2 linked regions of the Lytechinus pictus genome follow. The protein of the gene in region 1 interacts with the protein of each later gene in a biochemical or structural test. Links are inferred from orthologs where the notes say so. Each region holds a gene or a part of one and is shown on either strand. Other genes may lie near its edges. The genes, in order: E3 ubiquitin-protein ligase RNF139-like and COP9 signalosome complex subunit 5.

Region 1 (15,696 bases):
AAGGGTTCAAGACGGGAGTCTTCCTGATTAACGGATCTGCCAGGAAAATGGACAATAAAAAATATATTATTTATAAAGATTTCTTGGAAAATGTTTTACACGATATTATTCAGACAGATATAGATTGTTTTGTTATGCGAGCTTGATTCTGTTTTGTTTTCAGATTCGTTTTCAGGACAGGATGGTTCCTCGTGTTGTTTGATATGCGAGAAAGAGAGGTGTTGAGGGGATGGGGAGTGCAAGAGGGGGAAAGAGAGAAAAGGGAGAGGGGGAGAGAGCCAGCTAGGGAATGGTCATTCGAAAGTTATATCAATGTGCCCTATTTCACAAGAAAGTGCTTTAATAATTTTATGAAATTGATTATTCAGATTTTTATATTAGCCTATATATCTAATCATGCGTGCATGAATAAAAAGGAAACAGAGTAATCCCTCCTATATTTTCTTCAACTTTGTAAAACAGGTGCTGCAGCAATATCTATCGGAAACGCTAATGGAATGGCACCATCAGATGTCAAGACCAAGATTGAAAATGAAGCCACCGAAGGAAAGATAACCGGCATCTCACCCGATACTCCTAACCGGCTACTCTTCATACCTTAGGATTTTGATTAACTTTTAATAAATTTACTCGTAGAAACAAATATATGCATAAATAAACAACAATAACTATAGATTTGGATTAAGTGGTGGAATAGGTTATCCTAAGCTGTAATATACCTCATGAACCAAGTCCGTCAATGCATATTAAACACAACTAACTGAGACCATTCAGACTAGAACTTAAAATAAGAAAGAAAAAAAGCTACATCTCTGCTATTTTATGTAATTTTCCACAACTCATTTGATAGTAAGATCATGGAGTTGTACATCTATGTAATAAAATGGATACTGGAAAAACATCGGATGGTATTCTGAGCTTGTTTCATCGATATGCTGGAGAGACGAAATGGGGATAGGTTGCTATTTTGTCTTTGTCATGTATGTGTGCATGGGTGCTGAGGCCCCGGGGAGGGGGGGGGGGGGGCACTCAGTATATAATGCATAGTGGGTATGTGCTGTGGAGGGGACCCCCATTTTTACGCTCAAATTTCCGTTCCAAGGCCTAGCATTTTTGTCTTATTAAAAAAAAAAGAACAAAGAAAGCCGCTCCAAAGCACTGGCGTAAATCCGTGTTGATGGGTGGGGGGGATGACTAAAATATTTTGGCATTTTTTTGCAATCATGTTTTTAGATATGCAAGGAATTGTCATTGATATGTCCACAGTGGCGTACCGTGGGTCACGGCATTGGGGGGGAGGCACCGGAAAATTTTTTGAATCACTGAGTGAGTGCGCTAGTGAGCGCGCGAAGCGCGCTCAGTTGCCAGTTATACTGACCTAATAGAGACATTTTAAGGACAATGTCATTAAACGGATATGTATCTCACTGATCAAAAAATGCGAGCGCGAAGCGCGAGCTGAAATTTTGTATATTCACACCTAAAAAAGGGACATTATAATCAAATTTGTGTAATCATGATAGGTACCTGTCTCGCTAAACAATGCGAGCGCGAAGCGCGAGCTGAAAATTTAGATAATTCAGACATGAAGTGGGGCATTCTAAGGTTTCTTTGTGGGAATTAACTAGGACCATACGTATTTCATTAACCAAGTGATGCGAGCGCGAAGCGCGAGCTGAAAATTTTTGATATTCAGATCAGAAGAAGGGACATTTTAAGGACCGATTTGGGGAATTCATGAAGAGCAGACATATCTCACCAATCACGGACAGGAAATGTTTCATATATACGAAGACCTTAACATGGGGCAATCACTTTTTGAGACATGAAAAAGAAGCATATATGTCACTACATAAAACAATGATAACTCAAGTGCTAGGAAATATATTTGGTTTGTATTGACTTGAAAACGGGATGTTTTAGTACAACAGGATTATATATCTCGTTAAACAGACAGTGCGAGCACCAATGAAGACGTAGGCCCTGGGCAAATCATAAAGTTATGATAAAAATGCTTCTTATGTAATGTAACATAACATAATTATGATATAATATATTATAATGAATAATATTTTCTTCTTTCACTATGTTTTTCTTCCTTTCTCCCTCTTTTCCAGTCCCCCTTTCCCCGTTTTTTTTTTTTTTGGTCAGCCGATGGGGGGATGTGCCCCCCATGCCCCCCGTAGTTACGCCACTGTATGTCCATATGGCAAAAACCCCTCCAATATTATTATCTTTTTTTACCCCATGATGGTTTAATGGTTTTATTAGAGATTACATTCATATTTTTTTGACATTCCATCTTAATCCCTTCCCAAAGACCCTGGTTTGTCTTCAATGTTATAATAAGGACATAAGTATTTTGTTTGGAAATGGTGAACTGGCTCTTTATTTGCATTTTATGATTTAATAATATTGTTTTATTTGTTAAGCGGTATTTTAGGAAGAATTTTCACCAATAAAACAATTATCTCTTGTGATTTTTTTTCATTTCTTTCGTAGAAAGTGGGGGGGGGGATGTTTGTACAGGCCATCCCCCCTCCTCGAAAAGTGGGGGGGATACCCCCCCCCCACCCCCCCCCCCCCCGGGATTTACGCCAGTGCTCCAAAGCATAGCATTTTCTTCTTATCGAGAAAAAAGAAGAAAGAAATCCGCTCCAAAGCTTCGCATATTTTTCGTTACGCCGTTCCGGTCGCATTGATCAGCTACAATGAGCTGCAATTTTGGTGAAAAGCGGCCGCAGAGCGCTGTCCGACCATCGCCTCTGCGCGAGCGCACCCGGCGACCGGGCTGCCGGGCTAGCTGCATCATGCACGCATGCCCGTTCCATAGGGATGCATACGCACTCACACGCTGGCGATCCGTTCCAAGGACCCCCATTTTCACAAACATTTGTAGTTCCATAGCCCGTTCCGAGGACCCTCCTTTTTACAATAAGCCCGCTCCAAGGCCCCCGTTTTTTGTCTCGCGCCCGCGGCACACCCCTACCACTTTTTTGGTCGAGTGCCCCCCCCCCCCCGGGGCTGAGGCAGCCTATCATCACTGGGATATACAAATTAATAATTCTTCTACTATTACTTTCCTAAGAAGTTGCAATTCAGGCCCTGTTGCATAAAGGTTACTTTGCTATGAACTGGTAAGTTCGATTGAATCCTTGTCTGCTGGGTATTTTTACCATGGTAACTATCATATAGCCATCATAGCATGGAACGTATATTTTCAATGCGACGAGACTCTGGTTGGAGAAACAAGCATACTTTAAATTGGATTTCATGATTAGTGTACAACATTGTATTCAAGATCGCACCCCTCATTGGGTACTTCGCGTCTATGAAATGAAAAATAAGGTGCAAATTATATTATCAAAATACACTGAAATGGAAATTCGTATTTCCAGTATAGTGTCAAAAAGAGCATGAGTTTCACACATTTCGCGCACGTTAGCCACTACCATGAGCGCCCGGGCATGAGCACTCTCATTGGTTAAAAGGATGGTCCGGGCTGAAAATATTTATATTTATAAATAAATAGTGTAAAATTCACAGAGCAAAATGCGGAAAATTTCATTAAAAATCGGATAACAAATAACGAAGTTATTGAATCTTAAAATTTATCAACATTTTGAAAACAGTTATATGCACATGGTTATGAATATTCATTAGGTGGGCTGATGATGTCACATTCCTCTTTCCTTTTTCTAATTTCATGAAATCATATTAATGTTTCTTTTTTTCAAACATGTGTAAATACATGATGTGTCTCCATTATGATGAAATAAAGATGCGGCAATGAATAACTAATGCACTATAGCTTAATCAGTTATCAATTCAGTTGTTTTAGTTCTTGGTAGATAAATTTTGAATAAACCCAATTTCATATAATATAATATAATACAAAAGAACAAGTGGGGATTATGACATCATCATCATCACCTAATGAATATTCATAAAGACATGCCTAGAACTGTTTCACCGGAATAATGCAAATCTTTAAAATTCAATAACTTTGTTATTTGTTATCCAATTTTGATCAAATTTCCAGCATTTTGCTCTGTGAATTTTACTCCATTTATTGAGATATAAATATTTCCAGCCTGGACCATCCCTTTAAGTATTTGGGCGAAATTAAGTTCGAACAAAATATCTGATTGGATACTATTTTAGTGGTGGTGTTGATGGGCGAAGTTGTAACGCTATTCATAACACTTCTCAGATTATATAGGAGTGTTCTCATGGTGTTATAACTCACGACCTGAAAAGTGCACATACGAAAGTTACAACATTATCATATGTATTATTTGCAGATGACACCAACATTTTTTGTTCACATAATAGCTTAGAAACTTTTTAGTAGATATAATTAACCGTGAATTGCCAAAACTATCTTTGTGGTTTAAGTGTAATAAGCTTTCACTCAATATATACAGTGCGTATAAAAAAAAAAGTTTACACTTAGAAAAAATCCTGTAAAATTATTGTAATATCCTGAAGATTTTTCCACATTTTAACATTGGTACAGATCCATTTAAGCAAATGACGATATAACTGTCGAAAAATATTTCCGCTTGAGTGAGCACCACTTACTTTTGAAAAGTTAGTGAAAAATGATTTGCGCAGAACTTTGAAATAGCTATGCGAATAAAAGTAGACCTTAATCATGAGGAACACGCTAGTAAAATTGATTTAAAGATATCTTTTACTTTTTTAAACTTGTTTCCTTGCCCAACACACTTTGAAGAGTGCATTGCGCCCATGCAACCCCACTCCCCAACACACCGATGCCCTCGTGACGATTTTTGCTTTACACTGAGCTGTGATTTACATGAAATGGCTTAGGCTTGATTTTCACTTTGTTAATCATTGACAAGCTTGGAAAAAAGTGTGGAGAAACAAGTATTAAATGAAAAATGAAATGTAAACCCACTTTAAATGATAAAAACTTAGGGAAAAATGTTGAAGATGTCTCATATAAACTTTTGTTCAGATTCAGTTATGTCCTCAGATCCAGCTGGCACAAAAAGGGTAAAGGTTGTGCTTCCTAAGTGTTGAAATTTCAATTTGGGTGGCAAAATTGTTACAAAATGCTTGATTGTATCCGTTTTATTTCAATTGACTAAAAGTACAAGGGAGATGTATGAGAAATGTTTCGCAGGGTAAGTTTGATTTCGCCCTTTCCCCTTGACACTGCGTAAAAACGAGCATTTCTGCGCAAACAGATTTCTGCGAGCTTTACACAAATAGACAGTGCTCACTCAAGTGTAACATTCTGTCAAAACTTTTACTTTCATTGGATAGATGAGACCCAAACCCAAGATTATATGTGAAAAAATTACCCACATGTTGTTTATTTTTTAATTCCAAGGGCTTTTTCAAAGTGTAAACTTTTTTTTGATACGCACTGTAGATAAAACAAACTTTATATATTTCAAGTATACACACTCACATGGTAACGAATTTCCTTCCAATATAAACATAGATAATATTCCTCTCAAAAGGAAAAGAGAAACAAAGTTTTTAGGTGTCACAATAGATGAAAATTTAAATTGGAATGAACATGTATACGTTGTATAACTACTAGTATTTCTAGAAACGTAGGTATACTTTACAAAATGAAAAACATAATTCCACATACAACTCTTATCATACTATACAATTCATTAATATTACCTTATATATCGTATTGCAACATAGTTTGGGCAACATGTGCAAAAACTAAAATTAATACAATATACTTATTACAGAAAAAAGCAATTCGAATCTGTACTGATTCCTAATATTTATCACACACAAATCCATTATTCCATAAACTAAAGACTCTAACATGCAGTATTTGATATAAATTCACTTCAAAGTTTACTACTTATGTTTAAGTACGTAAATAACATGCTCCCACCTTCATTCCACAATTTTTATACTCTGAATACATCTATTCATTCATACCCTACCCGTAACTCTTCAAATTTCCATTTAATTAACCCCACATTGCTTATTGCGCAGAGATCCATAAGACACCATGGTCCAGATTTGTGGAACTCTCTACCAGAGTCTGTAAAACAATCTTCGTTTCTTCACTCATTTAAGGCAAACGTTAAATCTATGTTATTATCAGGATATTTGAAGTAAAATTTCTGTGTCGTTGTATCCTTTTTTATCGTGAATTCATTCCTCCTTCGATTTAGTCATTACCAATATCTCCATCATGACCACCATCATCTCCATGGCCTTCACCATCACCATCATCATATCACCGTCACCCTCACCTTTATCATCTTAATCTTCATACTAAAAATATTGCATGAATTGATGTTTCGTATTTAAAAATATATGCCCATTCTGCTTTATAAATGTATTAATTAATTTAATTAGTTTTAGTTTGGGATTGTCATTTTTCTTCAAGCAATCTGCTTATGATGACAATCCTTCTCCTGCAAATTGTGAATATCATATAATAATTTGGTAGTTAATCATTTTTGTCTGGAATTATTTTTTTTTAGTACACTTTATTTATGATTCATGCCAAAAATGCTAACATATTATGTTTATTATGTTATGGAAAATGTATTATACGAATGTTCCATGGATGCAGAAGAAAACAATAAATCAAATCACATCAAACATCATAGCACCACCGGTTGTCGGGACCAAGGATCACACCTATTCAGGTGTTGACTGTGCTAGTTCAACATCCACAGGTTTTATTTTAACTTCATTATGTTCGAAGGGTTTGGTCCTCCTATTTTCATTAGCTGGAGCACCATTGGGCCTATGGTATATTTATTCCAAAAAAATCATTTTATATAAAAGAGGCCAAATATTTAATAAATAGCAGTAAGCATAAATGCATCATTACCATTAATGTTATGACCATCATTGTTGTTATTGCTATTATTGTTATTATTTTGTTCATAAAATTTTATATTATTGTCATTATCATTCATTATTATTACCGTATTATCATAATTATTGCTATTAAGCCTTATCCATCGCGTCTAACAAAAAGAAATCTGATGCTATAGCGTTGTGTGTTATCGTGCCTCACCTCTGTATTCAGTGCAGGTGTGAATGCAGTTGGAAAACACTCCGTCCATCGGAAAGGACGCAATTGTTGGTCCCGTGTATATGAGAGTCACAACCTATGAACGTTAAAACCAATACACTATTCGTCAAAGAGTAGGGTGTTTATCCGGTGTATTGCACCTGCCGGTCCCGGCAAAATTCAGGTCAAGTCAATCTTGACGTTCATATGCCATAATAATCAATAGGCCCCTATAATCATGATAATGATGATTGTGGGCATTAACGGGAAAGACAATGTATCACTAACAAATTTTTTCTCCTTTTTATCATTTTATCTTCTTCATCTATAATGTAAAATAAATACAAGGTGTAATGAATTGTGTGCATAGTTTACCAATATTTTCTTATCATTGTACTTTCTAGGACTGATACAAGGCCGGTTTACACAAAGCTTCTTGTATTGATATTTATTTATGTACATGATTACGATGACCATTACTGGATGAAAATTTACAAAATATTATCATTGAAACCTATTCCTATTGGGTGTTACAAGAAACTTGCGATCAATAAATTGCAATCATATTTTGGGTCCCGAATGCAATCATAAATCTTGTAATTAATTGCAAATTAGTACTTGATTGCTGATTTGCTTCTAGCAACAACGAGTATAAATTTATTTCATACAGCTAGCTAGTGTTCTATCAATAATTGTAACATCACAATTTGCAATTGATTGCAAATACCTTCTTGCTACACCCCCTTAGAAGATTTTAATTCAGATTGTGAATTATTCATTTGCAAAACTTAGTATTTTTTTTCATGTGTTTATCTGAATATATATTTTTATCGTAATACTTCATTTTAACGAAACTCATACTGTAAATGAGCACCCCCCTCAACACACACAATTAAAAAGGAAGAAGAGGTGTAAAAGAATGGAATGATGAAGAGGAGGGAAAGGAAACCGAGGAAAGTAAGTAAAGGAAAATGAAGAGAGTAAGAGAGAGAGAGAGACCGCGGTAAAATGGTCTCATATTCCATCCTCATTAAAAGACCGCAGGAGGTGGTATAAAAAAAGGAGGAGCAATTGCAAGTTGCAATGGGTAGAAATCCTACTTTAGCCAGGTGCATTACCATGTCATTGGAGTCATTGCATAAATTATCTTTGGTTGCATTGAGTTAGTAATTGCCTAGTGACATCCCGGGAGTTACATGAAGAAGAAAGGGACACATGGAGAAGAAAAAAAAATCACGATTACTGCATGCCATCTGTCTTGGGGAAAACCTGAGGGGAATCCCCTCAATTTCCGTGCGCGAGCTAGTGACGTACTTGCACGTACGTGTACGTACGTGTGCGCGCCTGCGCCCACATATATGTAAATTAGGTCGACAAGCCGGTCGCCGGTGAAAAGCCAAGATAAAAGGGACAAGATTCCACCCAAATTTAAAGCTTTATCATCATGCCTGGGCTAGATAAGTTTACTTAAAGTTTTTGGATGGATCTCTCTTGAAATTGAAAGTTTATCTGTGCGACATTTCACTTCATTTTGTTGGAAAACAGTGTTCTAATATGTCCCAGAATGCTATGGATGTGGAACTGGAAGAAAGATATGGACCCCTGATTCGGGTACCACTGTTGCTGGTCATGGACGCCCTGAGCTCCGGGCGGTTAACTCTCTTCAGATACATTGTTGACGATGATGGGTACTCGGACTCTGTACTTTCTACTGTTGTCCATTTAGCCGGTAAGTCTAACTACCTAGATATAAGTCTAGGTCTAGATCTTGAGTCTAAAGTGATAAACCCTCCCTTCTCAGCTCCGAACCCCCTCCCTTCTTCAGAAGTACTTTTGCCTTTTGGGGCCTGTAGGCTGTACTGAATTGAAATTGAATTTGAAAGGGTCTTTCGTAGAACCGTTCTTCTAGAACGCGAACGAGATATCGCTCAACTGTTTCACAAAGCCGATTTGGGCGATACGAAGAATAGTCCTTGGAAAGACACCTCCAGACGTGTCCTACGTAGGCATGATCTTCTTTGCACACCGCCCGCCACCATTGGCATTGAGAGAAAATGCGTTTACGGCAAGCCACACTGACAATTATCACTTTTAAACATTTTTGGGGGTCATTTGATTGCACTCTGTCTCTGATGCATTTTATCTGGGATGGCGCCAAGTTATTTTTATATGGAGGCTGTCATCAATTTCATGGCAAAACAGATGTCACTTTCACCGTTCCGGGGTATCTAGGCCCATATAATTTTTTTGTAAATATGTATATTATGTTTTCTTTTTAAAAAAATATTAGATTTTAGATAAAAAAAGGTTGAATCACACATCGGATCCAGATTTTTCGCGTATGATATACAGTAAGTAGAAAGCTGCGAGAATGTGTGCGATATCATTTAATATGCTTTACCATTTACGGTATGTGGTTTACTTCGGAAGCTTGTATTGCTGGTTGCGTTCTAGGCGCTCAGCATTCATTTACTCTTATCCTGTCTTATTGTTTTTTTTGCTGTCAAAAGATGGCGTACGTCACCTATAAGATTTTACATGAGATGCAACCCGTTGATTTTTTTGTACAATTTCCTATTGTGCGCCGACGACTTGAATCGAGACTGTTAGATCGGAAAAAAATTCACATTTCGATTGTTGTTTGCATGAGTTCCACCGCAGTACGAAAGGATTTTCAGTGGTTCTTGGCTGAGATTTGGAGGTACAGTAAAGGTTAAAAAAAAATCATTTTTAAAACAATTGTAATATATTTTCATCATTAAGTTATCAAATATCTTTAAAAGTAACACAGTTAGTAATTATAGAAAGTTTTTTGGTGTTTTATTCCCCCACATTCGTGGGATGGAGGAAAATGTCAAAATCCATTCTCTAGCTTACTAGGCCTAACCTCGCAATACGTGTGAGTTGGTTACATCTGCCTTCTTCATTCAGGGTTGAAGATTCTTGCAGACCGTTTATTTGGCATGTGTGTATGGCCAGGTTTAGGTGTGTGGTGCAAATATACATGTATACAGGTGTGAGTAAAAAGTCCAATCTGGTTTCTTTAGCTCTGGCCTTCTGCCAGTCTCGGGCGGAAGGCTTTTGGAGAAGAGGCATTGATTTTGTTGGGAGGGAGAGCATTCCATACCTTGATCGTCCTCGGAAAGAAGGATTGACGATTCAAGTCATTTCATTTCATTTTACATTTTATTTCATTTATTCCACCTTCATGTGTAAAAATAATAAAAATGTAAATCAAGCATTGGCATATGGTGTGGGCCCCGTAAAAAGTTAAGAGCTTATCACCAGGGGCCCAAGCTTAACACGATGGTGCTCAGTCCTGCAGTGTGGTAGCTAGTAGCCATTCCCTTGTTGCTGTGGTCAAGTTCTTGTTGTTCCAGTTAGTGGGGTGATGTATTCTTCCACTGGGAAGCTGACAAGATTGTGGTGCAGCTGGTACAGTACCAGTCACCATTCTTTGAATCACTATTACCTGTTTCAACCAGAGAACAATAGATTTGGTCCACTGATTCTATTGTTCTCTGGCCAAAACAGGTAATAGTGAGTCAAAGAATTGTGACTGGTACTGTACATAAGCACCAGTCTAGAATCTTCCCTTCGTTTCTTTGTTTCCCTTCTTGAACGAAGTTCTTCACTCCGTGAATTTGACAACATTGAACACTTCAAATCGTCTCTCAAATTCTCACATATTTCAGTAGATGTGTAATTGGATGAGCTTTCGCCTATGAATGTTTTTAAGAGAAATTTGATGCGATATAAATGCTGGGCCTGTGGATCATAAACCATGGCATTCATGGAAAATGAAAAAAATACTGTCTTGCCATGCCATTGTAAATTTCTGCTTTCACCTCTTCTGTCACATCATATCTGCCATGTCAATCTGTTTGAGCTAAGGATTTATTTAGCAATGTCAGACATTATTCATCATCTATCGACTATCCCAAGCCCAGTCAGTATATTACAGCAGTACAGAAAGTGAATGCAGCCAAGGCCAATTTAGTGAGCAGAATTAGTATACATGTAACATTCAAGTTTCATGACTCCCACACGAGACTGAAACTAATCAAGGCCCAATATTTATTTTTTTTAACCGGGTTTGCATGCTTATTTATTTTAAGGAACAGGTTAAAGAAATGTGAATATTTATTGACCAGATATGTTCCAATGTTGGCTCAAGTATTCACTGTACTATAGCTTCTTGCCTTGGTTAATAATACATGTAAGCAGTGACTTTACACACCAACTCCTCCTTGACTTTGTACCTGATGAAGTTGGTTATGACTATGCCAATGGAAGTACATTGGAATTTAGTAATGACAATGCTGCATATGATATGGAATGATATATGATTATCATCAACTGTCACAATAAGTTAAGTGATATGATCTTCAAAAGTGAATTGTCAAACAATATTTAACTATTGCATAGATGGTAGACCTAAGTTATTGCTTCTATCATATTAGCATAGTGCAGATTTTATGGAATTCGGAAATTGTTTTTAGTTCATTATTTTTTTAATCCAAACTGGAATGGTCTACATTTTATTTCCTACTGCAATCTAATGTACGGTACTAACATTAAAGGAAAATATTTCTTTGTTTAAAGTATATACATGTAGAATAAAGGGTTCCTTTGGTAAATACTGGTATTCTAATTCTATCTTTATTTTCATTTATATCTTCATAGCTTTGCTGATTTGTGGGATGATGTTCTTTCTAACAGCATCAACCCTGAAGATTTGTTATGCATTGATGGTTTTTATGGCAGCACTGAAGACATCTCAGTGGTGGAATGGTATCTTCCTCCAGAAACTTGGGATGGAGAACATCACCATGCTACACTCCAACCAGACTGTCATCTCATCCTTTGGAGATGAGTGGAAGGTGAACACGTTAGACATCATGTCCAGTGATGAATTCCTCTTCTATCTCTGCATCCAGCTCATGTACAGCTTTGTCGTCACCAAGACACCAATGCTTCATTCTTTAAGGAACACAGAATCTAATGCTCCTGTACTCTCAGTGTGGTTCTGCCTTGTCTCTCCTGTGTTCCTCTACCTGTTCTTGAATACCTTTCCAGTACTTACACCAGATTCTGCAACCCTTCTTGTCCAAACCTTCTACGGACTCTACCCGATCTTACCTATCCTGCTACTTGACATAGTGTGGAGTTTTTTTTACTTTGTGCATTACTATTTCAAAAATATTCGTGTCATTGCAAGGACATTTACAAGGATTTATATGCAATTTGGAATTCAGGTGTTAGTGGAAAACCAGTGGATTAGGTTACAAGTGCCAACAGTACTAAGACTATTTTGGCTAACAAGATTTGCGCTTCATGTAGGCAGATTAGTTCTCCAGTATCACTATGGTCCCATGAGTGCTAGCCCATCTGAGGATGTACCCAACAATAGAACAATATTATCTGCAGCCTTGTCAGAAATTGCTAGTGAAAGCTGCAGTACTAGGATTGCAGTGTTAGGGCTCAGTGCAACATTGTCACCTATAGCAACTGGAATTGGACATTTGACTCGGTTATTTCTAGGTGGGGACCGTGATGGAGGAGAGAACATTGGTACTCTTGCATCAGTTTTGTTCTTCATCCTCGCTCTACAAACTGGTTTGCCTGACCTATCACCCGAGAACAGACTCATAAGGCTCGGAAGGAACATGGGCTTGTTGAGTACTGCTATCCTTCACTTCATACACACTATGCTCAATGGGACAATGATGCAGCTATCAACATCACACATCGTCCATCGTGGGAAGCATGCCAGAGCTCTAACTATGGTGGCATTGCTTACTGTACTTCCAATCTGGTTTATTGTCTACCTATGGACATCCAACCCCATTGGAACATGGATGCTCGCACTAACCGCTTTCTGCTTGGAGCTTATTGTGAAGGTCATTGTGACGCTCATTGTCTACATCCTTTTCTCCATCGACACTCAGGGCGACACCTTCTGGGAACAACTGGATGATTATGTCTACTATGTCAAAGCAACGGGTAGCACTATCGAGTTCATCTCCGGCATTTTTCTCTTTGTGAATGGAGCTTGGATATTTGTATTTGAATCTCGTGGAATCATAAGAGCCTTCATGATCTGCATCCATGCCTATTTCAATATCTTCCAGCTGGGAAAAGATGGATGGAAGAAATTTAAGAGCAGACGTCTGGCCGTGCAGAAGATAAAATCCATGGAGCAGGCTAGTGCAGATATGCTTGCTAGCCACAATGATGTTTGTGCGATATGCTATCAAGAACTCACTAGCGCATGTATTACTCCTTGTCACCACTTCTTCCATGCCACATGTCTTAGAAAATGGCTTTATGTTCAAGACTACTGCCCTCTATGTCATAAAGAAATCACAGAAGATTCAGATGATAAAAATCCAGCTGAAGAAGATGGAAATGTAGCTCGAGGTGATTAGTGTTACCTCTGGCATTTTATCTACATATTCAAAGGAATTTTTTTTAATGTCATTTTTGGGGTGGGTGTGATATTTTTTTTCCATTCATCAGATTTTGATTGAAATATTCTTTGTAAACATGTCCCTAGATAAAAGTGATCAAACCATTACTAAATAATGTTCATCCGTAGCTGATAGGAATCAAATTGATGGAGAATTAGTGTGATTTAGCCACAAAGAAAAGGACCACCCGTCTTGTGTAAATTGCAAGAAACTTTATGAAACTCCCAGCTTTTCACAAATGAAGTTGTCATATGTTAGTAACAAATTAGCTTGCATATAGCAGGGGTGTGAGAGTTCAGATTTTTATCTGATTTCAGATTTTTTTCGTTTTGATTTTCAGCTTATTTTTCGCTTTCCTCTGAACAAAAAGTATGGGAGCTCTTTCTATTTCAGACTTTTTCTACAAGTTTCAGCTTTTTTCAGATCTTTTTATTTGTGACCACTCACACCCCTGATATAGCCAAAACATTGCTGGCCATGCTAGCTAGCATAGAAGCATTTTGTACAGCTTTTTCCTTCGGGTCATTGCCAAGATTAAATGTCACAGAAACCATGCAATAGTGGCAGTGCAATGCTAGTAAACTAGTACATGTAGCTAATGAGTGGTTTAGAGTACGGTACGCCAATGAATTGGTAGATGTCTTTCTTTAGATTGACCGAACTACATATAAGTTTACATGGATACTTTGTTAATGTCATGAAATTTCCTAAATTCATGGAAAATCTTTAAAGTACCCTCCAATAGTCATGTATCATGATGATAGGTATTTTAAGCTGGTGATATGGACCCTAATCAAGTGATCTGTAAAATTTGAACATGTGACCAGTCATTCATTAATTTTGCTGTCAGAAAATTTTCCTAATGTATGGTATGGTACTACAAGCTCTATTGACCTGTCATGAGATGAAATCCACATCCTTCTTTATAAAACACATATTACACATTGTTTTGCTTCAAGGGCATTAGAATACATGTAATTACTGATGCACACGCTTGTTATTATCCTAACTTGTTAACAGTCCAAACAGAAGTGTGCCAAAGGTAATTCATACTAATTAAGTGGGGGCAACATGGTCTAGTGGTTATGACCTGTCTTTTAATCTGAGGGATGTGGGTTCGATTCGCAGCCATGGTGTGTTTTTGATAAGCGAGATATTTACCCACATTGTGCTGCACTCAACCCAGATTAGGTGACTGGATAATTATTAGAAAGAAATTCCTGTAATGCTTGAGCACCTTTATAGGCAGTGCAGCTAAAGCCAGGGTTATAATAGCAGCGCTTTGTATCCTTAGGCAAAAAGCTCCTTATAAATCCAGCTATTATTAGTAGTATTATTATGTGTATTATTTGTATACTATTCATTCACACCCACTCTGTAGATTATGTGCTTATTTGATATTTGTATTTGATATACGTACCACATAATTTGCATACAGATGATCAGTAGATTTGAAGTCAATTTCAATATTCATTGTGCAATTTGTAATAAATACAATACATGTTTATTGTACATAACTACTGTACAATTATACTTTCTATGATTTTTCAAAATAATTTGATTGAATTTTGGGGGCTGGCTAGGTTTATTGATGCAGCTATATTATATACTCAGACCGATATTTGATTTCCTTTGAATTTTATGGGGACTGGTTTGAATATGATAGTAAGAATTATAATCATGTACATGATGTGAAGTGGGCATGGTGGGGGGGGGGGGATCATGCTGCCCCTTGCTAAAGCCCAGGTAATTATTCTCATTTGTATATCATGTGAAAACTAAATGTATGGAGCATTATTGTTTAATGGTTCTGACTCTCGCCTTTGAAACAGAAGGTTGTGGGTTCAAATCCCAGCAATGGTGTAATTTCCTTCAAGAAATTGATCAACATTGTGCTGCACTTAACTCAATTGAAGCGAATGGGTACCTAGCATGATAAGAGCCCTGGGAAATAAATAAAAAATATTTTAGGTATCACATGTACGTTGTGAAAAGTAACCCCTGAAATAAAATATTTTTTGCCTGTCAAGATACAGTTTGGAAAATAATTATTAAACCACTTTCCTACTAAAGCTCCCACATGGTATGGTCCAATATTTTCTAAGCTGTAATTCCACTCCAGACTTTTAGACATTTTTCCTCTGAAGGAAAGAGATACAAATTTTGTGAATGGAACCTTGCTATGAA
Region 2 (16,547 bases), on another chromosome or scaffold:
CCCAGCCCATCAGGAAAAATTATTTTACTTTTTTCCAGTCAGGGAATTTGATAAAAAATACCTCATATCAGGGGAAAATGCCTCAAATGAGGGAAAATTAAGGGAATTTTGATCAGCTCAAAAGTCGAAAGCACAGTTGTCGGTCAGACTCTGTTATATTTTGTTGTATATCAAAACAACATCCATTGAATGACTGGTTATGGTGGTATTATTATTAATAAGTTTTACATTATTGTTTTATACTGAAAATACATGTAATTCACTGGATTAACAGCTTAGAAAACATGCAAAACTGGGAATGGGTTTGAATAATTATCAGGGAATTTTTTAACTTCATCAGGGAAAAATCAGGGAATTGTGTTTACTTGTAAAGCTAGGAACCCTGTACATGATGCATTTTGTGTGTAATTCACTCTGTTTGCAAGAAGTAATTATTCCATTTGACCATTTGGGTCATAGTGCTGTCTCGGGATGAGATGCAAAGAATAGTTGCATAATAGTTGTAACAAAATATGGCAGCTCAAAAGCAATGTTAAAGCAATGCTTTTGTAAAATTGCTTGTCCATAAATTCAAGCAAGAAAGTCCTACATGGTAATCTTGTTTCCATATTCCAACTTGATTGATAATATATGAAACTATTACAAAAATTAAGTTCTTAGATTGGTTACTTTAAAGTCTTGAACTCTGTGAATATGTAATTCTTTTCTCATCAATCCACCGGAATGCAGAAAATTCTATATGTGACTGGGAGCATCGCTCGGATACCAGAGGACAATTCCATTTGACTCTTTCTCAGCTTGCTGAATTAGTAATCCTCGTTAGGATTCTGTATTATTTACTTATTTAAATGAAGAATGCACAGGCATTCCAATGATCACTATCAATTGTAATGATCCTTCCATACCCAGATTAATTTGATATTGCAAATGAAAATAGTTTCTGAATTTGAAATAGGTATTTAGTATCTTAGTGCTCAAAATATTTTTAGTTAAAAACCCTCAATTTCTTCCTGCCTCCCTTCAGTGATAAAATGAGACAACAGATATCCTGGTAGGTTCTGCATATCTTTTTTTTTTTGTGGATGGGCTGAAGTGAAGCAAGGTCACCCTGACCTAGAATTTATTTTAAAAAATATAATGAAAAATCAAGCAAGCATAGTGCTGAAAATTCATCAACATTTTATGTAAAATTAAGGCATTTTATATTTTGCATGTATTTCACAAAATGGTTTATATGCACAACATGGATGCTATGCAAATTAGAGAACCAGTGATGTAATTGAGATCATTGAGAATATGGATAAATGAATTTTCTCAAGTTTGGTTGCTTTTTGTCTTGGAAAGTTGTAATTATCAATCCAACATGGTAACAATCCAAATTGTAACAACTTTGAGACCTTATGGGAGCCCATGCTCTTTAATGTTTCTTACTGATAGATGGCACTGTTCATCACTTTGTGATCTCAGGAAATCTGAGCTCCAAATAGCTTTCTATTGCCCAAGCCATTTGTAAAGCCTTGCTTATCTTTAGTATTGTGTCATGATTTAGGTCTCTTGATCCTTGCAGTGCAGATTCATATCAGATTATGGAGATTAACTTGTGACGTGTGTGAGGGGGTGGGTGTGTGTGTTTGCATCTTCTTCCTCAACACTTACGATAATAATCTGACACAACAAATTCTGAGGTCACCCCTCCTCTAATAATTAAAACAAATATATAAATGTACATGTAGAAGTCCACAGTTTGCAAGAGACATCTCACACACTGGGGGGGGGGGGGGAGGTGTCTCTGATTAGCAACTTGAAGATTCAAACACCCATGTCCTCGTTTACGATTGTAATACCCACTGCGGATGGCAAATACAAATGTGTGTGTGTTTGTGGGTGCACAGATACATGTATGTGTGTACACTCTATCACCATTTTCATGAAATAACCCCTTTCATGCACGCAATTTTTCCCTATTTACCGGTAACCTGAATAGGCTATCATAAGCCAAATAATGATGAAAATATAAATTTCATGTTTTTAAAGTGATTTACACTGCTGGCCTCCAGTACTTGTTCAGGATATTTTGCAATTAGACTTACTTTTGGAATTAGTAGTGCGAATCATATAATGGGCTCTCTCTCTCTCTCTCTCTGTTCTGCAGACAAAAGGGATTGGTCATTCTTAAACTAAAAGTGAGATGTGCCACTGTTCAAGCCTTGAGATATATACACTTGTACATTTTTATACATGTACCTCACTGAGGATCTACGCATTCAAGAATATCTGAAATCTACACAGAAAATTATGCCATTTACTACACAGAAGGCTTTAACAAGAATAAACGATCTGTACTGTACTTGACTACATGTGAATAGAATTTTTCTTTGTTACAATTAAGGGAGACAAGATATTTCAATTTGCAATGGTACTTCTGAATCATTAGGAGTGATGTGAAGTGTTTTTGCATGCTGTTGGGGGTTATTTTCTTACTATATTAATCAAATGTTTCCAAGATAAAGTAGAATTTCTTGTTCCACTCAATTAAACAAATTATATTTAGAGATAGTTTTAAAGTGGCAATGTCCAGATTTTCTTTGCTTGGCTCAGTCTGTCCCCTCTACAGTCTTACAACATATGGGAGAAATGATGGTCGTTGAAATGTTCATAATGATAAAAGGAATCCTTCACAAAATTCCGGCCAAACGTCCAGCTCAAATTTATTTTAGCCTACTTTTTAGAATATCCCCTGATGTTATGATGGTCATCTATTTTTCTGTATCTCTTTTCAGGTCCCTGCACAGAGACCCATTTCAGCCCAAGAAAGCAGGACGTCCCACGCCGGAGGGCGTAAGCAGTTCGGATCCAAGAACATTGGCTCTTCGGGCGCACCTCGGACAACGTTTGGCAGCTACAGCCAGGCCCATGGTACGATATCAGCTAGCAGTTTGGCTAAGCTACAGGGAAGGTAGTCTTCTTCACAGACCCTGCACACGGTTTCTCGACACTAGTGGTTTAACCAGCATGCCAAAAAAGCCCACAATTTTACTAAGCAGTGGGGATGGTAGCCTTCTGCTCCTCACCTGCGAACTGTTTTCCTGCACAAAAGATTATCTGAACTACAAGGGAAACCCACAATTTTACTAAGCCGCAGGGATGGTAGTCTTCTACTGCTAGCCTGCGAACTGTTTCTGTGCACAAGAGATTATTCAAAAGTACAAGGGAAGCCCACAATTGTACTATGCTGCAGGGGCGGTAATCTTGCACTTTATCCGCAACCTTTCGGACAACGCATGTGAATCATTCAGAGAGTCAAGACTACAGACTGGAATCCTCTCTTGTCTGAATCCTGTCCAGTGTTGTGATACATTAGCTAGCAGATTAGCGTTGGCACAGGGAAAATGTTCTTTACATACAGGATAGTGCCCTTTTCCTGTTTCTGGGCACTTGTGGTCTGGCCACTCAATGGACATAAGTCCTCAGTAGCCTACAAGCTATCCAGGGTCCTGTTTTACAAAGAGTTGTAATTGACTCAAATCAATCTCACATTGCCAAGCTACAGCTGGGGTAATAATATCCAAGTCCTTTGGAAGCGCATAGAGACATTATTCATAATTGTGATATGCGCTATACAAGAACTGTTTATTATTATTATTATTGCAATATAATAATAATAATACCAACATGCTGTATATATCACTGCCAAATGCATCCCTATGCACTTAATTGGATATTATTATTGCGGTGGCATTTCAAGGAATAAATTCCTGCCAGGTACCCTTGTACCTCACCTGGGTCGAGTGCAGCACAGTGTGGATAAATTTCTTGCCGAAGGAAATTACGCCATGGCTGGGATTTGAACACACGACCCTCTAGTTTCAAAGTCTGAAGACTAATCCACTGGGCCACAACGCTCCACACAATATATCTGAATATGTGTATGGAAGAGATTAAGATCAATCCCAATTTGAGATTGATTTGAAATCGCAGCTCTCAGTAAGACAGGGTCTTGGAGTTTGCTGTCAGCATGCAGTATGGTCAAGCTACATGGTTGTCGGGGATCACAACCATTTCTACAGCATACTATCGCAGGGTTTGACAAAGCAATAGGAAGTTATGTCAACATCTCGGCACCATTTCATGAAGCGTGTCACCACTGACCAAGTTAGCATTCATTGACACTGTCATTGCGTGTGGATTAATTACTTGTAGTATGTGCCATGCAGCAATCTTCACTGTTGTCAAAACCATTGGAAGGGTAGTGTTTCATGATAGTTGTCAGCATTCCACAAGTCGTCATCCTTTGGCAATCACCTTAATTGCAACATTCAATGCTTCCTGTCAGAATAAGCCTGCTACCACCAACGATTTCACTGGACAGGGGATCGGGGCGATTTTGGCCTCCAAATTCTCAAAAGAGTAACCTGCTTGCTCAGTGACCTCAAATTTTGTAACAAAGTTGGCGGAGTACAGCAAGCTTGCATATATGCCAGACAAGACAAGAGCCATGGAAATTTAAAAAAGAACCCCCCCCCCCCCCCCAAATCCCCATTCGCTACAATGTTAAAGCTCATCCAATGTTGCAGATATAGGCAGTAGCTTATGAGAAGTAGTCCCAAAAATGAAATATTATTTTTTGCCTGGGTCATACACATACATGATGTAGCTCATAATAGTCAGTACTGACAACTTTCATGAAACAATACCCTAATGCTACCATCACACCAAGAAAACAGACTCCAGGGTCCCGTAACACAAAAGCTAGCGATTAATCGTACACTAAATTTTCACGACTGATTGTACATTGTAGTCAATAGATTTAATCGTAGATAAAATGTTCTACGATCATTGCTAAGCTTTGTGTTAAGGCAACTGCACACCTTACGATTGGTCTGCGACCCGATTTTGGAATAAAACATAGTAGAATTTGATACTATTATTGAAACATGGAATATCTTACTGTGTAATGTTCTAAATCATCGCACGAATACCTATCTGTGACAATGCTATCATCCTTCTTAGAATGAAAGCGAATTTAATATCTAGTCGTAATGACGTCATAGCAGTTGTACGATTGGCTAAGATTTGAAACTAATTTGGCCTTTACTCCAAAATAAAGGCTTGCAATCTTTCATAATGGTTATATTGGTATTCTTTCAATTACTTTTAACCTCAAATAAAATGATATTTTCCATTCACATTTTCAGAAAATGAGCAAAATGCTATCTGATCCAAAATCGGATCTCAAACAGTCGTAAGGTGTGCGGAGGCCTTCGTGGGCCCCAGACCACACCAATCAATTATGCTATTACCAATGGCATATCATTGATTGGTTTGTAGTTGGTTTCGTTGGTGTGACTTTAGCTTAACTCTACATCTTGATATGTGCAAGCTCATAACCTAAACCATGAAGTCCTTGGTTTATCTCCAATATTCACCAAGGCATAGAGTGACATCCGCAAACGTTTCAGTAGTGTTCAAATTTGTGACTACCTGCTGGGAATTTTTGGCCCAAAGTACTGATCAGGCATGCTTTTTATGCTTGTGCCTGCAGTGCAAGGACATATATACTTGAATCTAGATAATTGCAGTAAGACAACTAGATTACATTTATCTTCATTCTACAAAGAAAGTACATTTGTGTGAATAATTCTGTGTTTCTTCATTATTTCTCTTTAATCTTCATTTTTCTTAGTATACAATGTCAACAGGTTAATAATATTATGTATTAGATTTATATAAATCACTTTCTGTCGTAATGAGATGCACAACGCGCTTCAGAACAAATAAGATACTGAAGAACCATCCCCCAAAAAAAACAATAGCAAAAAAAAAAAAAAATTACTAGTTTGAAATTTAAGAAAGAGTGTCTAAATGGATGTCTGTCAAAAAGCAGTGTTACCGTATACAGATCAGTATGTGCATGTTGGTTCTCATTTGTCTGTATTATGGAGTAGTTATATAGACCTTGTCAAAATATCTCCCCATCGTTAAATTCATTTGAATGTTAACAAAGATTGATTCTGTGTGCAAAACACGTATCGTTTTTTTGTCTATATGATATGAATTTGAATAATTATTACTATTAAGGTTTTCGAACAGGGAAGTCTGCCTAAGTCAAAACTCTTTGGACCACCGAAATTTGTGTTTGATGTAGAAGAAATTTGATGTGAAAAGGTAAATACATCACATACTTTTCACAATCTAGCTTCCACATAGGCAATTATTTGGTACGTATCTGCCAAGCATAGAATGAGCAAGATGAAGTCTTTGATTATGCAGAAATTACCATCTTAAAATGACAAGTATGTTGCAAAGTTATAGGGAATAAAGATAAATTTAAACCAGGAAATCGCCACAAAGCTTCATTGTATGCAACTTGTGTTTCAGATTTGGACATAGTAGAATAACATGTGAAGTCAAAATATTTTGAACAGTATTTTAACAATAGATGCATCCTTTGATTTACCACATGTTCGAATACTGGGCAGTTATCCCTATTCCCCATTGCCTTGGCTATGCAGAATTTGGGGATTAGAAGTGGAAAATTTGCTGAATGTAACATTTTCTGATGTAAGCCGCATCATCTAATGTCTCTATGGGCTTCCAAAGGACTTTTGTTATACCTTTGACTTAGTGTTGGAAGCTGTTTATAGACTATAGAGTACACAAGCATTTTAAGGAATTCATTTTTGCCAGGTACATAATGAATAAATGATGCAATTATTGATGAATGTATTGCTGAGAGACATTAGTGCTGCAGCAGGGAGTTGAACCTGAAACCTTGTGATTCAGTTGTGGAGACTTATCCACTGGACCACAATACCTGTACACACAGTGGCTCGGGCTTTTATTTAAGGTACCTTGAGTTAAGTTTTGTTCGTCCTCTTTGAAATTGACATTCCAGTTGTATCAAGCCATAAACCAAAGTTATCATTCAGCATTCCCCAAATCTTGGACAGAATATTTATATTTTAGTTTGTAGGCAAAGGGTTAGTTCATTTTGAGATAACCAAGCAGGGGTAGACTACAGAAAACATTGAAATCTCTAGTCTAGTGTCTGATCTTCTGATCATACATGAGGCATTTCCTATTCACTCTGGGGGTCTGGGGAAGGGAGTTGCTCACTCTTTCACAGTGGCGCCAGAGCACTCTGGGGCCATTTCATAAGAATTTAAGCTAGGGTAACTATTCCTTTAGAACAACAATGGTTACAGGGCTCAGCAGCCAATCACAATCAAGATTACCATGGTATTTACAATAATCTAAAAGCTATCGTAGGTGTAGTTGTAAACTGTTTATGAAACAAGGGCCGGGTGGGTGTTTCATAAAGCAGATCGTAAGATACAAATGACTTTACGCACGACTGGTGATCCTTTCTTGTGCTATGTGATATCTATACATGTATGTAATTGAGTTATGACCTAAGAACTTGTTCCAGTCGTGCGTAAAGTCGTTCATAACTTTACGATCAGCCTTATGAAACACCCACCAGGTCAGGCAAAGGTTTGGAAGGGCAAGCCATTGTGTGTTGACAACGGTTCAACCTTCCAAACTTGTTGGTTTAGAGCATTCAGACGCCACTATTGTCTAACATTATTTTTGGTAACAAAATTCCAACTTTATATGGAATATTACACAGATGTTATATAGAGAATTATGTAATTGAGCATATTGTATTCCAGGGAAGTCTTTGCCAAGAAATGTGTAATTGTTGAAGTATTCATTGTATATTTATTTGCTTGTGATATATCATATTGAGAATTCTTCTACCAATGTCTTCTTCAATTGGAAATATTTATCGACATATCAATATTTATTTTGAATTATTACCGTTAGCCGTGGTGACTTTAGATACAAGGGGCACGCAAGGGTCTTGGCAAGGACCGGTCTTTCGTGTTACCCATGCGCTGTATGAGGCGCTTTCTAGTAATGTAATTAAATCAGCACCACGAAAGACGGTCCTTGCAAAGCTCTTTTGTGCGATCAGCCCTAGGAGGCTCTGAATCAACTTTAGATAAAGATATCCTGCAACCTATTTTTTTCAAAATAAATTTTTTCGTGTGATATCATGAGGCTGTACATGTATTTTATAAATGACAAGAAGGTGAATATCATTGGAGGGGGGGGGGGGTAGTATTACGGATATCGTTATCCAGAAGTTTGTCAATAGCCACTCAGGAGTCGGGGATGGAGTTTCACAAAGATGTTTGTAAGTCATGCACAACTTTGTGTATGTCATTTATAAAGTCATTCTTAAATTACAATCAGCTTTATGAAACAGCCTTCTGGTGTATGAAGTGCCACGGTTGAGGGTACTACTAAAAAAGTGAATGAATTTAGCTGTGATTATTCAAGATATATTTTGTGCTAAGTACTGAAAAGTGACTTTACTGAAACCTTGATTATTGTGAGAATTCCTAATGAATGGCTTACAATTAGAATGTGTGTGTGTGATTCCAAATGTTTATAATAGAAGTGTCTTAAAAAGTTGTATAGATCAGTCGGTTGTGAGTATAATTTAATGTTCAGTATGCGTACATGTATAAATGAACTTGATTAAAAGTACTTGATAAAGCAATTTCTTTTGTGACAATGAAATTAAAGAATATTAATTAAAGAGACAGTGATACTGTTTTCTTAAAAATGAGAAAAAATATTATGTGATGTGTTGTTTCTGGTGTGCAATTATGCATAAGCTGTCTTGTATTCGATAGCAAATTAGAAATTTTACTTAATTGATGGGCCTGTTTCGTAAAACTTTTTTATAATAGCAAATTTGCAATAACAGTTAAAAGTCACTGAAATCTTTCAATCTGATTGGTTGATAGTCTATTTGGTATAGATATTGTGTATTTGCTATTATAACAAGTCTTTACAGGACCCTGTTCCTCATTTAAGAGCATTATGTTAAAAGAGCAAATATTATGAGGAAAAAACTTTGGTTTGATCAACACAGCACCCCCCCCCCTTTCCCCAATAAATAGATGAATACAGACCGCAAGGCAGAAAAGTTGGCCTATATGGTCTTCAGATTGAGCTGCCAAGTAAAAAACAAGTAAGATTTTTGAGCCAACCCCCCCAAATTACCTAATTTCATAGTTGTTTTCTTTTTCCTTTTTTTTTGCTTGTCAAACTTCTTGGTACCAAATTGACCTTCATTTTGTACTGAAGTCTTTTTTTTTTTGCTTGTCAAATTTCTCGGTCAAACCCCCTCTGTAAAACGCTAGACCCACCCCTGTAATCACTTCTGTATCACCATTTGAAACCCGCCTCGATGTGATAGCATGGTGTGCTTGTGTAATCATAAAAGTTCAGTGGATTTTGAGTCGTTTTTGTCTGTATGTTTTTTTATGTAACAACATATGTATAGTAAGTAACTTATGGTAATGACACAGGTAGCATCCCTCAGTTGTATCTCCTTGTTATACATTATGTGTCTCCTCAGTTCCAAATTTTACTGACTTGGGTAGCGGAACTGTGATTAATATCATTAAAAAAAATGCAACTATAATGATTATGTATGAATAGTGTATATGTTATATTGAAGAATGTACTTGGACAATCCCTTCTTCATATTTAATACCTAACATTTTTTTTTCTTGGGGGGGGGGGGGGCGGGGGTCCACATAAAAAAGGCAGAGCTGGTCAAATTAGAACTGCTTTCTTTCTTTCTGCTTGTCAAAATTTCTTGGATGACAATGTCAACCATTTTTTCAAGTTAATCATTTTTTTCTTTTACTTGACAGATCTAGAAGGGCATTTAAAAAACTTACTGACCCCTTATTTATCTTCATCATCATGCTGACCCCTCAGATGGTTAAGGCATTTGTCAGAAATTTTGAAAGTTAAAATTAATTTCTTGTAATGTAATGAATATTGTGGGATGCATGGGGGGGGGGTCAATTTGTCAAATTTTCTCAAGTAGCAGAAAAAAAACGATGCCTGACAAAGAAATGGTGACTTGTTATTTCATTTTGCGGACAAGAAAAGAATTTGAAAGAAAAAATATATTACAGGCTTGCAACTACAATTGTCACTGAGCTTGATCACCAATATGCTTTCATTAGATACTGGTCATCGATCTGCATGTATTTGGCATTAAAAAACACACACAAAAAAGCCCCTCAAAAACGAAACCAAATCAAACAGATTCAGATTTTATAGTTCTCCCCCCTTCTTTCTCTTTCCTTGATGGTTTTAATGGCAACCATATATCATGACTATTTTGCCAATCAAAGCTGTAAAAAATGATATATAGTTTCTTTTTTTGTTCTCTCCTTCAGTTTGTTTCTTTTCTATTCCCTTATTTTTTTTTTCATTTCTCTTTATATCTTCTATGAATTTTTTTCTCTCTTCTTTTCATTTTTTTTTTTGTTTTATCTATTTCTGTTCTTTTTTGTTTCCTTTTCTTTCTAGCTTTCCTTTCCTTTTTTCCTTTCCTTTTATTCCTTTTATTCTTTTCCTTTCTTTCCTTTTCTTTTCTTTTTCTTTTTCTTTCCTTTTCTTCTCTTTGCTTCTCTTCTCTTTTCTCTTTTGCCTATTTTATTATTATTAATTTCAGAAAAATAGGGGCTAACTCATAGAGATATAATTAGTATACATCTCTATGGGCTAACTCCAGTGACGACCTTGACTTTTCTCTCTGCGAAATTCTGAAGAAAATAGGTGACATGGATCGTGAGATAGCCCAAAAGACATGGGAAATGTCTAATAACGTTGAACTTGTTCAAAATGTTGATGAGATTTACAAGTACGACAAGAAACAACAACACGAGATACTGCAAGCAAAACCATGGTCGAAAGAGTAAGTTGTCCTCCCACAGTCAGACTAGTCCCAACCGTTGCAATCTGTGTTGTAAATTTAAGAGGGGATAGGCTTGCCACTGGCTTGCCTTGGCCGGCCACTTCACAATTCTACAAAAACACTTTTTCTTCGCACGCCATGGCCATGGCACGGCTAACTTCTGACTTTGGCATTGACAGGGGGAATAGCCATGGAAAAAAAACCCTAGACCTAGTAGTAGATTAATAAACAAGAATGACTGAGGAATAGCATAGGCCCTACAGTTATTTTTCCTTTGTCTTTCTGTCTTTGCACTGTCTGTGTCTTTTTTATGATGATTCATGATTGATGATTTTGAAAATGAAGTTTTGTTTTACCTGAGCTGATCATGCGTCAACATTGTCTGCTTCTCATTTGTGATTTGGGTAAATGATAAGAAGATGTTCCTGGAAGCTCAGCTGTTGATATGTATGATGGGGTGACCATAATTTGCGCACATTTTAAAAATTATCATGAAGTTGATTTTCAGTCAAAAAATTCTCATAGTTCACACAAAATTAATCAAAATCATAAATACCAGATGGAAGGCAAAATCCCAAAGTCAAATTCGCTTGATGAAATTATAAAGTAGGTCAAGGGTTTCGCTCGTATCGCGATCTAAAAATTCCATGGCGATCGACTAGTGCGTGCTTGGCTGAAAACTTGCCATTAAAAAGTGTGACCTTAATTTGCGCACGATCATTTTGCAAAGCTTTAGAAAAGAAATCAAACAGACAAACGTAAGATAATTATATCAGATGGAGGTTAAAATGGCATAAATTCGGTTGGTATCACATTTTACTTATTTGGAGACCTCTGCTTGCGAACTGGCGATTTCTTGATGATTGTCGAGAAGATCAGATTTTCTCGGAGCGGACGTAAAAGGTAACAAAATTCCCCAATGATTTGCCAATATTTTCACAAATTGAGACCTTGCCTTCAACAAAATTACCATACTGGATAATTTTGGGTGGCTTTTCTGTTGGTTATATAAGTTTTTCAAGATATTAATTAGATAAAGAGATATTCGACTGTGCGCAAAATTAGGTAACGCGCGAATTAAGGTCACACCACCATACAACATTCTTCCAGTAATGAATTAAGTCATGTTGTAATCAAACAAAACTCAAAAAGTTTGCAGCCACCTGCTGGACTTCGGTTGATATTGTAAACCGAATCGCCATGTTTTTACTTGCACCCTCCACCTTTTTTTTTGTAAATAACCTCCAACATCCAACGTCACTGTCGGCCATTGACTGCACATGCACCCATCCCAGTTTAGCTTCAAGTATGAGCTGCAAAAGGGATTATTTCTTCAAGGTGCAAGGTTCTAACTGGCATTCCTAAAATCATCTGAGCATGAAATTATAGACATCTATTTGGAATTTATCAGACTAACACCTTTTGTTTATTTAGCAAAAGATCTAATGGTTGTTTAATAGGGTTGAGCTGTGCACAGCTGTTGCCTTGAGGAATGTTGGCGCTAATAATAGATTTCATTAACCGCAGAATTATGAAATTTTCACCCCTTTTTTCCAAGCTCTAATTAGCCAAATATTTGCGCAGATTTCACAGTCGCTATGATGAATCTCTGTCGGTGCATTGTCGACAGAATTCAAACCACATCACGCATTGGCTTCAATATTGATGTTATGGTTCTACTTCAAGTTTCATTTGCACTTCGTCTTCTCTGCCTTTTTATATATGGACTGAAGCTACATGTAGCTATCAAAATACATTCGTACCTGTCAGTTCCCGGCAAAACCTGTAATGGTACGATAAAACACCAGAAGGTGGTCTGTATTCTGAGAGGAAGAAGAAGGTTTCACTAAACATTTGCATCCTAGGATTTTAATTGCTAACTTCAGTCCATGTTAAAGCTGCATACAAAACAATGAAGCTGATGTTAGACTGAGACTAGAAGCACAAATCCATCACACAGATGTTCTTGATGCCCAATGTAATTTATCTAACATTTTGGGGATCAATTGATTAGAGAATGTATTTGGGGAGAAAATTCAGCTCTGAAATCAATTAATTGTTGTAATTTTTTGCTTTGGTCTTGCTTTTATAAAGGGATTTCCACTTAAGGAGGAAAAATATATACACCCCTGTATATGTATTCTTTTCTTCCTAAGAAAATGTATTATTTGGCTTTATTAAACTGTTACATGTAAATCTCCTTACAAGTCTTCCTATTCTCTCTGCACCTTCATTGACAGCAACCAGTATTTCAAGTATATCAAGATCTCAGCCCTAGCACTGTTGAAGATGGTAATGCATGCAAGATCAGGAGGAACACTAGAGGTCATGGGACTGCTCCTTGGAAAGGTATAATACCTATGTATATTTTTAATTCCGTTTGCACACTTTCTATTATCTTTCTTTTTCTGCTGTCATGTACATCGCAAAGTTTTCTCATCTTGTTTCATTGATGAATTGCTGATTTATCTACACCCTTTTTCATTTAGACCAACTGGTCATAGGCCAAGTTATGAATATAAACCCTTTCCTTTTCACTATTTACAGGTTGATGGTGAGACGATGATAGTAATGGATTGCTTCGCTCTTCCTGTTGAAGGCACAGAGACGAGAGTCAATGCTCAGGCTGCTGCATATGAATATATGGCTGCTTATATTGAGAATGCCAAACATGTAAGTTCCTTGTGAATACAGTTGTGCTCAATAGTGAACCCTACCCCAAAACACACTCCATCATGCAGAGTGTTGAATGTAGACAACAGGGCAGTTCCATGGTTACAGAGTGACATTCAGAAACAACTTTTTTGCATTCAAAAAAAGATATCACCAATATTTGAATAGCTATTTGCCAAGAAGTGGTACCTGACAGTAGTTGCTGAAACCCACTTTTCAAAATGATAACATTTGTTATTTTGATCCACTGAATTAATGAGATGAATATTCATAAACATGGTTATGGAGTGACGCAAAATAGACATATATTTGAGGAGAAAACATATTGCTTATACTCTGAACTTTGAATTGCTATCATAAGTTTGATTTATTGATTGGATTCTATGTTGTTCTGGCTGTAATATGCTGCATTACATTATAAAATTGGTGTATTATTTCATTAATTACAACTTAAAACGTAAACCCATACCCGGTTACGGAGTGACATCAGAAATATCCTCTCACGAGCAGCGTAAAATGAACTTATATTTTAAAATTTTCGTTTGATATGATGTAAAATGATGACCTTCAGATTATCTAAGAGAAAATTTTACAAAACAAGCAATTGTTTTCTGTTAAATTGAAATTAAGTAAAAACCAATATATGAAGTCCCATATAAAGAATTTCTTGTATGGTTTGGATTCTCCTATAAGGAGATGCGTAAGAAAAAAAATTGTAGCTAATTATTTTCCCCTTTTGTATTTATGAAATTTCAGTTTTGAAAGAAAAATTTGATCCAGATTTGAAATAGAGTCAATACAAATTTTTGGAAAATGTCCACTTTTGCTTGGAATTGCCCAACACTACAATGTTCGAAAACAGTTTTATTGGATGTAATGTTTTATCACCTGACTTCACTATTGGACATCTAAAGCATGGCAGAACTTGAACACGTTTATTTTCTAGTGGGGTTCACTAACTAATTTTGAGCACGACTGTATATATATCTGCGTACTGAAAATGCAAGACATGTAAGGTCCTTATTATGAATATGTAGTTGCTTATTGAAAATACCAAACATATAGGCCCAAATTCACAAAGGTGGTTTTGAAAACCCACGGTTGAGTCCATGGTTTATGCAGATTTTCTGTATAAATTACGCTTAATTTAGTGCGTATCGGGCGCGTGTATAAAACATGTCCAATGCTGATGCGCGCATTTGTCACAGTGCGCCAAATTGACGCCTGTTACCATGGTTAGATACGCTATTTTATTCATGAGTCCACTCTTCAAACAGTGGACTCATGAATAAAATAGCATATCTAACCATGGTAACGGGCGTCAATTTGGCGCACTGTGACAAATGCGCGCATCAGCATTGGACATGTTTTATACACGCGCCTGATATGCGCTAAATTAAGCGTAATTTATACAGGAAATCTGCATAAACCACGGACTCAACCATGGGTTTTCAAAAACCACCTTTGTGAATTCGGGCCATAAAGGTTCTTATCATGATTATACATTTTAGTTGCTTATAAATTGAAAATGACAATTTTTTATGGTTTAATTATGGTTATATTTAAATCTGCTTTATCTACCACCTGTTTATATAGACTACAAGTTTGGTTTCTCTTGAATAATGAGACATAAATTTGTTTATATTGAAAATGCCAAACATGTAAGTTATTATTTGGTTCAAATTATGAATAGAGTCAAACCTACTGTACTGACCAATGGACTAAAAAGATCAAAAGTTGTATTCCATTTAATAATTCAACCCATTCAAACATGTATTATGTCCATTAAGTTCAGCTATTGGGTGTCTCATGCAGCTGTTTGTTAAGTTACGCACAATGTTACGAACGACTGGAACATGTTCTTAGGTGCTAAATCATTTAAGTACTAGGGATATATCTTAAAGCACAAGAAAAGGTCACCAGTCGTTCTTAAAGTCATTCGTAACTAGCAATCAGCTTTATGAAACACCCACCTGCTTAGAAAGACCACTATTCCTGTCTTCCTTCTTTGAAGGTCTTTATCCACAGGTTTCACTGTATATTTACTACTTATATTGAAAACACAAAACATGTAAGTGCCCAGACCCAGGTCTGCACTGGCAAGGGCCTTCAGTATGCAAGTCATTGTAGGCTACCCATTCAGATCCTTCGATGGCGCAGTCACAGTTTGCTGACGATAGCCGTCCGGTGAGTTGAAAACAGCTGTTTTTATGATTTTTGTACCAGCTTTCTGTATGTGGTTCATAAAGGAATCCGTAAAACGGCTGTTTTCAACTCACCTTGTGGACATCGTAGGGGAAATGTGACTGCAGCATAAGTCAAGTAAAGGATATGTATTGTACCTTGTATCATACCTTGTTGTGGGCGTAAAGTTTTACCTATAAAACTTGTTTGCCCCTCTCCTTCCAATTTCTTGAAGTCAGTAAATATGCGCAGCAGACTACCCAGACCCTTTCAGTGATGTTGGTAATTCTTATTGTTATTTACAAACCCTACTATGTTTTTAATTGTCCTTATGATTACAGGTTGGACGTTTAGAAAATGCTATAGGTTGGTATCACAGTCATCCTGGATATGGGTGCTGGCTATCAGGTATTGATGTAGGAACACAGATGTTAAATCAACAGTTTCAAGAACCTTTTGTGGCCATTGTGGTAGGTGTATTTCTTCAATTATAATGCATTATTATTATTATTATGAATATAAAGCAAATTGCACATCATATTATCATTTAACCATTAACGTCACTATGTGCTTCTAAAGGACTTTGGATATTAGATGCTTTATTAGCCTGGAAGATTTTACAGTGGACAAGCATTTCAAGGAACTATAATTCCTGCCAGGTACCCATGTACCTCACCTGAGTCGAGTGTAGCAAATGTAGCTTTATGTCCTACGAAAGGACATTTGTGTTGCAGCAGGGATTTGAACCTGGTACCTTGTGATTCAATGTCCAGAGATTTATCCACTGGACCATGAAAGTTTAAATCCCTGAGCCCCGTAACACAGAGGTTTGCAATGGATTGCAAATAGTGATTGAAAGCACGATTCTGATTGGTTCCTGGTCTGTAGTTTGAAC

What was found.
Region 2: the proteins of E3 ubiquitin-protein ligase RNF139-like (region 1) and COP9 signalosome complex subunit 5 form a complex in vitro, tested with the Drosophila melanogaster proteins (2 studies listed by BioGRID). The link is inferred for Lytechinus pictus from reciprocal best matches to the Drosophila melanogaster genes Trc8 and CSN5.

What each region holds. Positions count from the first base shown.
Region 1 is NC_087256.1:3,845,287-3,860,982, forward strand, and holds E3 ubiquitin-protein ligase RNF139-like, read left to right. Parts: upstream 1-8,388; 5' UTR 8,389-8,590; coding exon 8,591-8,765; intron 8,766-11,722; coding exon 11,723-13,467; 3' UTR 13,468-15,581; downstream 15,582-15,696. UniProt on the Drosophila melanogaster protein: Plays a role in growth inhibition that is dependent upon COP9 signalosome subunits CSN5 and CSN6. May modulate signalosome levels or compartmentalization. Probably functions in the same or a related pathway to VHL during early midline development.
Region 2 is NC_087261.1:2,500,774-2,517,320, forward strand, and holds the start of COP9 signalosome complex subunit 5, read left to right. Parts: upstream 1-9,595; 5' UTR 9,596-10,661; coding exon 10,662-10,795; intron 10,796-13,035; coding exon 13,036-13,144; intron 13,145-13,342; coding exon 13,343-13,468; intron 13,469-15,993; coding exon 15,994-16,122; intron 16,123-16,547. Other genes in the region: extracellular signal-regulated kinase 2-like, read left to right, coding at 2,781-2,960. UniProt on the Drosophila melanogaster protein: Probable protease subunit of the COP9 signalosome complex (CSN), a complex involved in various cellular and developmental processes.